Arabidopsis thaliana: one gene and its partners. The protein of the gene in region 1 interacts with the protein of each later gene in a pairwise test. Each region holds a gene or a part of one and is shown on either strand. Other genes may lie near its edges.

The links.
Region 2: the proteins of AT1G35830 (region 1) and WRKY33 interact in a two-hybrid assay, tested with the Arabidopsis thaliana proteins (one study listed by BioGRID).
Region 3: the proteins of AT1G35830 (region 1) and WRKY51 interact in a two-hybrid assay, tested with the Arabidopsis thaliana proteins (one study listed by BioGRID).

What each region holds. Positions count from the first base shown.
Region 1 is NC_003070.9:13,320,076-13,324,083, forward strand, and holds AT1G35830 (VQ motif-containing protein), read right to left. Parts: upstream 2,437-4,008; 5' UTR 2,048-2,436; coding exon 1,139-2,047; 3' UTR 600-1,138; downstream 1-599.
Region 2 is NC_003071.7:16,106,523-16,111,343, reverse strand, and holds WRKY33 (WRKY DNA-binding protein 33), read right to left. Parts: upstream 3,110-4,821; 5' UTR 2,869-3,109; coding exon 2,626-2,868; exon of another isoform or gene 2,377-2,625; coding exon 2,170-2,376; intron 2,101-2,169; coding exon 1,568-2,100; intron 1,478-1,567; coding exon 1,316-1,477; intron 1,220-1,315; coding exon 805-1,219; 3' UTR 578-804; downstream 1-577. Other genes in the region: AT2G38480 (Uncharacterized protein family (UPF0497)), read left to right, coding at 1-111, 193-384; AT2G38465 (uncharacterized protein), read left to right, coding at 4,534-4,662.
Region 3 is NC_003076.8:25,906,321-25,910,482, reverse strand, and holds WRKY51 (WRKY DNA-binding protein 51), read right to left. Parts: upstream 2,237-4,162; 5' UTR 2,069-2,236; coding exon 1,827-2,068; intron 1,720-1,826; coding exon 1,573-1,719; intron 992-1,572; coding exon 796-991; 3' UTR 602-795; downstream 1-601. Other genes in the region: CLE21 (CLAVATA3/ESR-RELATED 21), read right to left, coding at 4,080-4,162. UniProt on the Arabidopsis thaliana protein: Transcription factor. Interacts specifically with the W box (5'-(T)TGAC[CT]-3'), a frequently occurring elicitor-responsive cis-acting element. Involved in defense responses.

The DNA of each region.
Region 1 (4,008 bases):
AACATCCATCACATTCTTTTTACAAAACATCATAATTTACAGGTCTTCGGAGATACATATATAGATAGTAGAAGATGAATTCAATTCGGACAATCTGAATATTGAACTCAAATAATCAAATCCAAAAAACTAAACTATACTTTAATATCGTTAAAAATGAATTTATTTTTCCTATATCTTAAAAAAAGAAAACTAAATCCGGGCTTGGAAATAAAACAATGTTAAACTTTAGTTATTTAATTTAGATTATATTTTAGTTAAAACTGTTATCCATAATCTGACAATCCAAAAATTATATATATAACAAAAAAAAAAAAAAAATTGAAATCCATTTCGAACGTCCTAGCTTCACTATACAATGTCCGTAAATGTTTTGGCAGTACTAAACTACTAATCTGTTATTAAGGCGATACTTAATATGGGACACAACTCTCAACGTTGAAATGAATCAAACAAAAATAATTTGATTATTTCACGAAAACATCTCATTTTGTAGTTAGTTTCATATGTAACATATATTTTTATATATATATATATATATATATATATATATATACACATTGTAAGAGAAAAACATGTATGTGAGTAATTTTGAATCTCTAGGCTCTAGCTAACTACGTCGAAAACATTTTAACAAAAATAGAAAAAAAAAACTACATTGAAAAAGAAAGGGACAAATACTAAGACCTAGCTTTTTATTTCGTACAGACAGGGATGGAGAGTAGTTAAAAAAAAGTTGCCGGGACATTAATTAGACTACAAAACCTATAATATATAGAGGGAAGATATGTCAAAGTAACGATGGAACAAAACACATTACACGTGTGAACTGTCCTTGTAGACCAACGAACCAAATCCGAATTAGATTCTCTTCAAGACCTAAGAGCCAAATTTGTAACGTAAAAACATATACATAGATACATTATATTACATACAGTACTTACAACATGTGGAGAGAATCATATACCCCATTATGGGTCATCGTAACGTGTAGACAGAGTATAATCACTAGATATGAGAATAAATATTTCGACGGAATATATCATTCGTAAAAAAAATTATGATAATTCAATCTCAGTGACTACAATCTGATTTTAAGATAAGGTTTCAATTATTAAAAAATAATGTAATATGATATTTAATTATTGGAATCTGTAGGGCAAATCCAGGGATCAACTGTTGTTGTTGTAGTAGTAGTAGTACCTGAAGAGCCTTTGATCGGAGCTGAAGAAGAAGAGGAAATGTTATTATGAATCTCCGGTGGCTTTTCTGTCCGGCGATCAAACTCCGAGAACTGCCTCATCATTAGCTGGTGGTTGTCATCATCAGCCGTAGGATGGTGATTTTGTTGTAATGCTCCAAGATTCATCGAGTCAAGGTCGTGAAGAGAGGAGAGTGTTGGTTGATGATGATGTTGATGAGATAAAAGAGACTGGAACGTAGAAACTTGGTGAGTTTGAGGGAGAGGTAGATCAGGAAACGTCATGGAAGTAGTTGTGTGGTGATGAAGGTTGAGTAAAGAAGATGTTGAAGGATTCAAAGGTTTTTGAGGGATAGGACGAAAAGGGTTATAAGTAAGAGGATCGGAAGGAGATCGGAAAATATCGAAGCGGCGAGTAGTGGAGGAGAAAGGGTGAGAGAAAGGAGAGGCAGGGACGCCGGTGAATTCTTGAACCATAGCTCTGAAGTTAGAAGTGTCGGTGGTGAGAACAGTTGTAGGAGCTCTTCTTGAAGCTCTTGTTCGTTTTCTAGGGTTTCGGGAAGAAGAGGGAGGAGGAGGAGGAGGAGGTGGTGGAGGTTGAGGAGGGAGGAGATGAGTTTGGTTAAGAATGTCGTCGGAGATGAGATTGTTGACAAAGTTTAGATAAGTAGCGGAGGAGGAGGAGGAGGAAGAGAGGGTTGTTGGGTCACCGTAGTAGGTGGAGGAAGACGGTGGTGGTTGGAAGGGTGGGAGGAAGAAAGAGGAGTGATCTTGTGGAGCACCAGTTGATGAAGACTCGTGATCATCGCTCGAAGATTGTAAGCTTCCACTGTTACAAGAATCCATGTGGACATGAAAGAAACAAGAACATAAAGACAAGAAGAAGAAGAGAAGGGTTTATTTTGGTGAATCTAGGGTTTTGAGAAATGAAGTGTATGGGAGAGGAGAAAGAGAAAGCAAAAAGTTTTTTTTTTTTTTACTTAAAGAGGTTGAAGGGAGAGGTATGGTGTCGCCATTGATGGAGAGAGATAGAGAGGAGGCGGTGGCTGGCGAAGAGTCAAACTCAATATGAAAGCGAAAACGAGAGAGAGAGAGAGACAAATATCTCTTTCTTTCTCTAGTGGGGATGTGACGAATGTGAAAAGATAGATAGTGTTGGATTTTTACAACATAAATATATACACACACAATAATCAAATAAAATATACATTGGAGTTTGGTCCACTTGTATCGGGTACTATATAAAATCTTACCTAGGGTAAATTATTTTCTTAAAACAATTCTATCCGAACAAAAATTTAGCTACATGTAATGCTTAAAACCAAAGGAAGTACTAATTGTGGTTATGACACACAAATTAATAAAAGACATAAATTTTATGTTTCGTTTTTATTAATATAGTTTAATAAAACATTACTAATAAAAAAACTGTTTTTATATTGAAAATGTAAATCGAAACATTTTAAAATAAAATTTAGGATATACAAAGACACTTAATTTAAAGCAAAAAATAGTAAATATTGTTACTGTTTAAAGAGTAGTAATAAATGTTATTTATTTCAAAAAGGTCGGACATCTCTCTACTATGTAAATTATTATATATATATATATATATTAGATAAGGACTCGTAATTTTTTAATTTATAAAAAACTAAAATCAAGTTTAACAAAACATTAATCAACAATATTTGTAAGTAGAAATTGTTTAAACAATTAAAAATTTTTTTGTAATAACTAATCAATTAAAAAAAACTGTTTTTATATTGAAAATGTAAAACGAAACATTTTAAAATAAAATTTAGGATATACAGCAACACTTAATTTCAAAAAAAAAAATAGTAAATATTATTATTGTTTAACGAGTAGTAATAATTGTTAATTATTTCAAAAGTTTGGACATCTCTCTAATATGTAAATTCTTTTATATATATATATATATATATATATATATATATATACCATCGTTAACATGTTTGTTTATACTTATGGGTATTTATCTATACTATACGGAATTAGAAAGAAGAATACATGGTAAAAAACGAAAAAAGAGATTTATAACTTTATGTTGATTATTCATAAAGTATTTATAAGAAACACTATATATGACATGTTTATACTTGAATTTTAAGTTAATTAAATTTCCTTCAAATATGAAACACCATTTTTCTCTTTCAACTATCCTAAACTTTCACATTTCATTTTATATTAAGACTTTAAGAGAAATGATTTTGTTTTTTTACTTGATAGTTCATATAATTTTGTTTTAAATGCGGAGGGATATGCTTTGAACCCGGTCATTCACAATTATTTTGTGTAAAAAATAATAATTTTACGCATAGAATTTGAAAATCATTTCTAACAGCAGATGATGGCTCTTCAAAGCTGTGAATTGGCACATTGAAATGAAAACTCTCCAACTTACAGCTCCACATCTGCTACTGATTCTACAATTGGGCTGCTGGGCTTCTTACAGCTACTACTTTAGTAACTTATGTGGGCTGAACATAACATTTTGGATCTGGTTCAGTTACTCCATATTTTTATGTGGGTTTTCACTTGAAAACTAGGCGAGCAAGTCCATTGGGGGCACATGGAAGATTTTTTTTATCATGAATCCTTAACAAAATAAGGCAAAAATTAAATGAAAAATGTGATATAAGTTTGGGAAAAATGTTGTTTTATACTGAACATTCAAAAAGTAGCCAATCAATACGTAAATTCTAAAGTCGGTCAAATTAAACATGATAAAAACGTTGACCAGCCATTTTAACAAAAACAAAACGTTAACCTGGCCAAAATCACGAAAC
Region 2 (4,821 bases), on another chromosome or scaffold:
ATTTCGATTATTTCAACATTATACACTGCGTGGCAAACATTTGCACATTTCTCAAAAAGGGAAATTTTCGATCGCCGGACTTCTATTTTGGTCGATTTCTCCGGCGACCAGGTAATGCCACAAACTGATTATCAATTCTCAGATTTATATATGTAAAGTTATGATTTTTATGCAAAAAAGTGAAATTTGCAGATTGTGGCGTATTTGCTTATATCAGCTGCATCATCTGCAATTCCATTGACAAACATATTCAGAGAAGGTCAAGATAACATTTTCACTGATTCTGCTGCTTCTGCTATAAGTATGGCTATCTTCGCATTCATTGCTTTAGCTCTCTCTGCTCTCTTCTCCGGTTACAAACTCTCCACTCATTCTTTTATCTGAAGATCTCTTTGCAATAATGTGCTTCAGTAGTTATATACCATTGTGATCTTTGTTATACATGTAAATGTCAATTCTTTTATGTGTTCTTATAGCTGATATCAACTTCTGTTATTTGGGTCTGTCAGACTGTCACTGTGTCTCCCTGTGTCACTGTGTGTGTGTGTGTGTGCTTCTTTGATTCATTATTCAAAGTGAAGAAACTGAAAATTGATTGGTTTTATTCCGTGTTCTAGTTCTATGGTACAAAGTACAAACATTAAACATATTACAGGCGTGTGAAAAAACAAATGAAAAAATTTCTCTATGGACTATAGAAGTCTGACTTACTATCCTGCAGGATAACTAGTAAGTAGTAAAATCCTTTGGTGGCAGAAATGTACAAAAGGAACATAAAAAAGGAACAACTGGTTCCTTTTTTCTTCAGGGCATAAACGAATCGAAAAATGAGGTCTCCTCGTTTGGTTCTTCCTTTGCTCTAGAGAATCCACCACCAACAAAGTTTTGTTGCGTTTGAAGGTTGCTGTTGTTGTTATTGTTGTTCATGGCGTAACCAAAAGGCCCGGTATTAGTGTTGTTGTTGTGCAGCATCTGAAGTGTATATGGTGCTTGAGAAGAAGTAGTGTAGTTGGAGTGACCAGCAATAGCAGCTGGTCTAATCGGGACTGAAGACGAATCCTGTGGTGCTCTGTTTGTGGCGTAACCGCTACCACGAGCTGCAGGAACATCGTGGTTGTGTTTCCCTTCGTAGGTTGTGATTACTGCTCTCATGTCGTGTGATGCTCTCTCCACATGTTTCCTCACTGGACAACCGATGGTTGTGCACTTGTAGTAGCTTCTGTTAAGATTCAGCAAATGAAAAGAAAACAAAAGGTCAGATTCTCAAGAACCTTAATTCTGAGTTATTGAGATGCACAATTGTTTATGTTATTACCTTGGATTTGGGTTTCCCTTAACGACTTTCTGGCCGTATTTTCTCCATCTGTAACCGTCGTCAAGAATGTCAATATCACTCGTTGTCTGCACTACGATTCTCGGCTCTCTCACTGTCTTGCTTCCACCACCATTCCCACCATTTGTTTCATTGTCCCCTTTCCTGAAAACACAAAAAAACATACATTTTAGAACTTTCATATTCAAGATTGTTCAAAGAGTAGCAAATTTGGAGGGTGATGATGATCTGTACCATCTCTTTGCTTCAGGTTCACTCCCACAATCTTCTTCGTCTCTGCTGACAATCGATGAGCCTTGTTCGAACTCATCGTCACCAACAGAATCAGAAGTAGTATTATCCTCTTGTTGCATCCCAAAGGAATCAGACTGATGAAAGCTATTATTGGAATTAGGCTGATCAGAAGAAGCTTGACGATTATGATCCAAACTGGCATTGTACACAGCTGAATGAAAAGTCGAAGAAGACGAAGAAGATCTTCTAGTAGACTGAGGTTTAGGATGGTTGTGGCTTCCTTTATACACAATCTCTGTGATCTGACCTTCCAAAGATCTCTCCACTTTCTTCTTCGTTGGACAATTAGGGAAAGTACACTTATAGTAACTCCGAGGATTCTCACTTCCTTTCACCTGTTTTTGTCCGTACTTTCTCCAATTGTAACCATCCTCTCCTTTCCTTTGCTCTCTTCCATTGTAAGATACAGCTTGATTGTTTGGACGAGTCTCGGTTTGGCTCCATTGTTCTGACTGGTTCTTCTTCTGTTGTTCCTGAAACTCAAAACAAAGTTATAGAAAAACTCATAAACAGAGGATTTGAGCTGTTGATGAAGTACATACCTGAGATTGAAAGATAGAACTGTTTGTTGTTGTTGTAGTTGTAGTTGTAGTTGTAGTTGTGGTCGGAGCAGAAACTCCTGATGATTGTGTGTGGAATGAGAAATCGAATAAGTTAAAGTTGTTGTTGTTGCTCTTGTCTCCTTCATTTATACCTTTCTGGTTAGTTACGTTTGTGATTAAAGCTCCTGTGGTTGGAGAAGCTAGAACCTGCAAAACAATCCCAAGAATTGTTCAGACTTCAAGAAAAGAGACAAATAGCAATAACATAATTAAGAAAGAGTCGAGAGTTGACTCTAAAAGTCTTTCTCTCTCTTTGAAACCGTTGACCCATAACTTTATCACTTCCGATCACGATTCATTGTCAAGATGTTAAATCAATGATACATCAAACACAGATTATCATCACTAATTGGATTCATTTCAAAAGAAACAGAGAAAAAAAACAGAGAGGCTTACGTTAGCAGAGGAGGAGACAAAAGCAGGGGAATCGAGAAAAAGAGAGGGACTGAAACAAGTGGAAGGAGAGACAAGAGAAGGAGAGATAGAGATTGAAGAAGGAGCAAAAGATCTGAACTTTGGTATCTCAAGATCTTCCAAAGAGGAAGTAGATGTTCTTCCGGATTGTTGTGACCAATTAGCAGAACCATTCATGTTTTGTCTGGTTCTGCTATTGTCCATTGTAAGAAAAGAAGCAGCCATACGAAAAATGGAAGTTTGTTTTATAAAAGACCAATTTCAGATATATATAGAAAGGAGGGGGGCTTGGAGAAGAAGAAAATGAGAGAAGTGATGGTTCTTGTTCTTCTTCTTGTTTCTGTATATTTGTTGGTTATGTCTGAATATATAAAACATATTGCACGTCTGATTGGTGAATATTATATTATTTTAAAATTTTGTTTAATTGTTCGTTTTTATTTTTAGGGTCACATATGAAGAAGAGTAGTTTCTGAGAAGGTGATAAAAAGTTTGACCGTTGAAAATATGATTAGAAGAAGAAGGAGAAGAGATAGATTGGTCAGACCTTGTGGCCTTGACTCTCAAACGTTGAACGGATTTTTTGAGGGGCGGCTCAATGCTTTCATCATCTTCATATGTCTCGTTCTGACACGTATGATTTATTCTTTATACGATGTTGTAGTATTTTTGGATCAAAAATACAAATTCAAACATTTGGGATTCTTGGCTCTTGCTCAAAAAACCTAGAAAATTTCGGAATCTTGAAAATTTTGACTGTAGGTGTACTAGGAAAGGTTCTCTCATATCTTTAAAGCACATGACATGAGTGTAAAAGATTAGTATTTAGAAGTGAGTTTGTGAGTATTTTACTATTTTTAGCAAAACCTCCTAACTAAAGTCGATATTAAATCCATGTGCGGCTGTTTTTGGTTTCAATCTATTTTTTAGGAGACTTAATTCTACTATGAATAGACTAATTGAACACAAGATTATTCATTTAAAGAATACTAGAAACAAATATTTATTAGAATGTTAAATTCTATGATTATCAAACTATTTTGTATCCGTATCGGTTTTGATATAGAGATAGGCTACAAATTGACCCTAGATAACATTTTGTAGCTTCCGATCAATAAATTGGTATAACTTCTGTCGAAGGTAGGCCTTTTTTTTTTGTATATATGTATTTGAAGTAGCCATAAATGTAATAAGAGAATTACATATTGTGTATATATGTATTTGAAGTAGCCATAAATGTTCTTATTGAGATGTCAGGATGTTTGTCTTCCATCACTGCTACCACGTCTGGCCCTCTTCTTTGGTAGTCGTCTCTGTTTTGTACATAAAACCTTACTCAGTTTGTTGTTTCCTTAACTAGTCTTGTAATATTTGTTATTTGCTTTTTTTATCTAGACGTCCTTGTTTTATATAAACAGTCTATGTACGTTGTATTGTACAATGTTTAATATCAATAACAACACCCTTTGGCAAAAAAAAAAAAATTACATATCGTGTCAAGCATAGTAGTGTAAATTGTAAATCGTTTAGGTATATAAAAGTGATCAGTTTCTTATTGCACGATATGTGGTATGGTTCTTCACGTGGAACCTAAATTAAACGTCATGGATTTTGTGTCGCTTTACCGTGCAAGTTGCAAACTATGCAGTGTTTGTTGATCCGATGACAGTTTCTTTCTTCAGCCCAAAAGCCCAAAAGGCCCAAAGTAAAATAGCCTCTTGCTTTAATACACGTCGGTATCTCTACAGCTAACACGTAAAACAGACGTGGCAAGAGTTGCTTCCAGAATCATTAATAGTTAAAAAAAATCATCATTGGCACAAGAAAGTGAGATATTTCCTAGTCTTGCTTTCAAGTTTCAAGCAATCTATCTATCTCGAAAAAGCAGCGATGCAAGACGCCGAGACATCACGACAGCCGGCGAAGTCTTTGTCCGATCGAGTGAAGACTAACTGTTTATCCATGGCAGTAACATGCCAGGAAGGGTTTAGCTATGTCAAAGCCTTTTTTGTTGGCCAGGTGCGTATACAAGAGTCTTGTTTCGAGCCACTGAAACAAGCGGATCAGAGACTCATGGGTCTTCTTGAATCAATGATCACTTGACGTATTTGGTGTCTCGTTAATTTCCTTATTGATTAGTTTCATTTTGTTATAATCTTTTATTTTTATTTTGGTTTG
Region 3 (4,162 bases), on another chromosome or scaffold:
GAAAGATCTCTCCACCTCCTAAATCAATCAAGTAGGGTTCGTCTTCCTCCTCGAATAAATCTGAAGATACAAATTTCTCTATCGAAGATAAGAGAAGTAGAGAGAATCTGGATCGAGATCAGAGAGATCCAAGACTCCCTTCGAATTTACTTACTAGTGTTTGAGATTTGGGCGGAAGAACAGATATGAAACGACTTCGTTTCCTTGCTTAAGTTGTTGAAAGGTAGAAGATGAGATCGGTTCGGGACAATCTACACAACGCACCAAAACCGGATCATAAATCACACCGATCAAAATCCATTATAAACCAAATTACCGGTAACAACTAAACCGAAACAGTTGACCTCGTTGACGCTTACAAGTTACAGAGCTGTCACACAGGCTTTTTTTACAAGTTGCTTTTTTCACATTTCCTTCCCGGTACAATCTTAGTCTGACGCATTTCGGGTCAAATGTCGGTTTAATAATGGATATAAGAATACAAGTAATTCAGGTTTTTCTAAATCATTCTTGAGTCTAATCAAATAAGGATTGGATTCAGATCGCAGTATTTTGGACAACCGTGACCCAAAAAAATTCAACACTACTTTTTAAATAAATATACGCTTAAGATTTTATATCTAGTGAGTCAGTGACCTACAAAATGTACTCATAGCAATATACATACATTAAACATTTATAACCACGAAATAAGTAACTCCTTTATTATACACCTATCAAATTATACAAAGCATTGAGATTATAATATTAATATTGTTGGTATCTTACAATCTCAACGAGGATGAGAGATTTGGATTAAGATCGAAGAAGAGAGTGTTGGTTCCAGTTATCATGATCATAAGATAAAACCATTTCATTGTAATAGACATTAGAGAGACTCTCATGGTTATGGACTCCTTCATATGTTGTAATTACATAAGCTGCATCGTCACCATCTCTCTCTACCCTCTTCTTCACCGAGCAACCTTCACTTGAGCATTTGTAGTAATTCCTTTATATTATAAATTCATCCACCACATGTTAAATTGTAATCACTTTTATAATATATCGCACCAAGTTATATATATATATATATATATATATATATGTATGTATATATATAAGAATATCATTAACCAATTACAGAGTGTGTAAATTGCTTTCAAACCATGCTTTGAATGAAAGTGATATGTTTAGATGATGAATTCATTATATTTGTTTCTCTTATGATATATGAGTCAAAATAAATCTATACGATGACTGATTATCAACCATGGATTCATTGATCCATATACCACTAATCAATCAATTTTGCTATAGGAACCTTTTATATATTTGTATAAACAAAACACACATGCATGATGTATATAGAAGCTAAATTTTATTCCAAGTGGGTTGGTAGATAATACGGGTCCATTAAATAGTATTCAAATCACTATATGGTCTAGCTAGCTAGTGGCTATATATTCTATAACAACAGGATTACAAGATGGTTATAGAAAATTATCAAGCAACCATATGTTATGTTAAAAACAAGTACTAGTAAAACATATTAATTAGATCAAATGAGTAATTTGTAAATGAATAAGTTACCTCTTGTTAATGTTGTTTTTGACAGATTTCTTGCCATACTTCCTCCATTTAAAACCATCATCCATCACATCAATCTTCGATCTCGTTCTAAATGCAACTCGATGACCCGTCTCCTTCGTCTGATCACTCTCTTTACTTCCTCTATTACTACAATATTTATTATCAAAAAGATTAATGAATAAAACTATATATAATGAAATACTAATTGCTTGGTTAAGAATCTTGCCAACAATAATAATTAAAAAGGAACTCACGTTGATTCCTTTTTACTCAACGTTGTTGCGCTGCCGGATCCGCCGCTTTCCCCGGTAAATGTCTCCGACGAAACGATGCTTGTCGGAGATGAGATCTCTTCCTCGATTAATCCATTGTTACCTCCTTCATCTATGTCAAAGAACATCAAATTTGAGAAATCGTTGTTATCCATAAACGGATTAATAAAGTTTTCATCGGAGAAGTACGTAAAATTAGGGCTAGGGTTTTGAGAGATATTCATTTTTTTTTGTTTTTGAAATAGAAAAAAAAATAATTGAGAGAGAGAGAGAGAGAGGTTTAAAGCATCCAAGAACTAGAGCAAGTGAAGAAGAGAAGAGAAAGAGTTATAATGGTCAGTTATTTATATAAAAATGAAAATTATTGTAACAAGTTTTTGTTAAGAAAAGAGGATAATTAAGAGATAAAGATTATTAAACAACTACTACTTATGTCAAGCAATTTCAGGGTAGATACTAGGAAGGTGCTTCAATGCCACGTGTGAAAAAAGGAATATGATGATGACGTCATCTGTTATGACGTATGGACAGACGTTAATAAGGGTGGCGAAAAGTGAGCTTCCACTTAAAGTAATTGTTTTTTTGCTTGGGCTTTACGGGCCCATTTTAAGAGATTTTATCGTCTACATTAGGTAACGTTGATAATTGGATTTTGGTCTTTGGATCAACGGCTGAGGATTTAAGTTGTAAGTTTGCTTATGCTGCGTTTGAAGCAGACAGGACTTTACTTTACAGTGCACACCAAGACACAATAAGATTTGACTTATTGAATTATGTAAATGTAAATTATACTATTAAAGATATTGTCACAAACTTTATTGATTTCTTTTTGGCCTAACTTTTATTTAGCAAATCCTTCAAAATGGTTATCTCATCTGGTCTGGTGAATCCACATATATATATATATATATATATATATATATATATGCAGATCAATATGATTTCGAAAGTTATAAAATTCCGTCTGTTTTTTTACCAAAGATTAACTCTATTAATTAACTAGCTTATAATATTGTTAAAAATCTTATATAAACTATACTCCAATATTGATGGGAAACAGCAAATGCGTTTTTTAATGTTGGCAACATTTTATATATTTTATTTTTTCTTATTAGTCGTTTTTTGTTCTTCCAGAAGTTTTGGCACATTGCAATGTATCATCATACATATATGAATCGTTGACCCACACATATATCATATATGTATGACCAAGTTTTTTTGCTAAGTCTATTCTTAAGTCAACGATTCAAAATTTCAAAGTGGTCTTTTAATCTTGTCTTAAAAGGTAAGACGAAATTTCTTGGTGCCACTCTTAATTGTTTTTGTAACTACAATAATATTCTCTCTGTATTGTGTTAAAACAAACATAAAAACTAATTAACTGAGAATAAACACAGAAACATGTAGTGTGGCTCTGTTTTTAAGAAACACATGACTGGAATCATATAAATATTACCTATTTGAGTGATTTTACATGCAAATGATTAAAAGTTTAAAATCAGATAGTGTTAAAACTTAAACGTTTGCACAAAAAAATGTGTTTTAACTATGATTAACTAAAGTAATTAAGAAGAAGAAAAAGCAATAAAATATAGTATTTTTTAAAAAAGAGGCTAAAATATAAACTGAAAGACTGAAAAAGAAGGGCGGCTGGCCAAAAGTGAAGGAGTGTGTTAGTGTGGGGTTCTAATTGAAAGAACCCCTTTTTCAAGGGGAAAATCTGAAAAAATAAAAAATAATTACATATCTATATTTTAGTGAATTGCTTTGAAAGTGATATATGGACATTTATTAATGAACACCAACCACCTATCAGCTAAAACAGAAAAAAAAACAAAAAAAAAAGATGAGTTACAAGTTACTGACCTTTATATATACAACAATATACCTTATTAGTACGTAAAAAAGAATAATACTGTATTTTGTTAAAACAAATTACAATGACAAAAGAAAATTCACAAAAACGTACTTTTACTCAGTTTATTCTAACATATCACGATATTTTTTCGATTCCATTATTTCTGTTTGCCATATCGTTCCAGCAACTTTGAGCATACAAAATTTAAATGCTAGAAACAATTGAAATTTATCTCATACTATTTTAGAGTTTCCAACCCAACCTAATTAAAGACTATTAATCTTGAAAAGTAAACTAACTTATAACGATACATATATACACCAAACGAACAATTTACGAAGTCGAAGTATGTTGCATCTTTCTCAGTAGTCAGTACTCTACTTGTTGTGCAAAGGATTTGGACCTGTGGGGATAGATCGTTTCTCTTCTTCTTCCTCGTCGCCGTCCGTCTTTCTCCGAA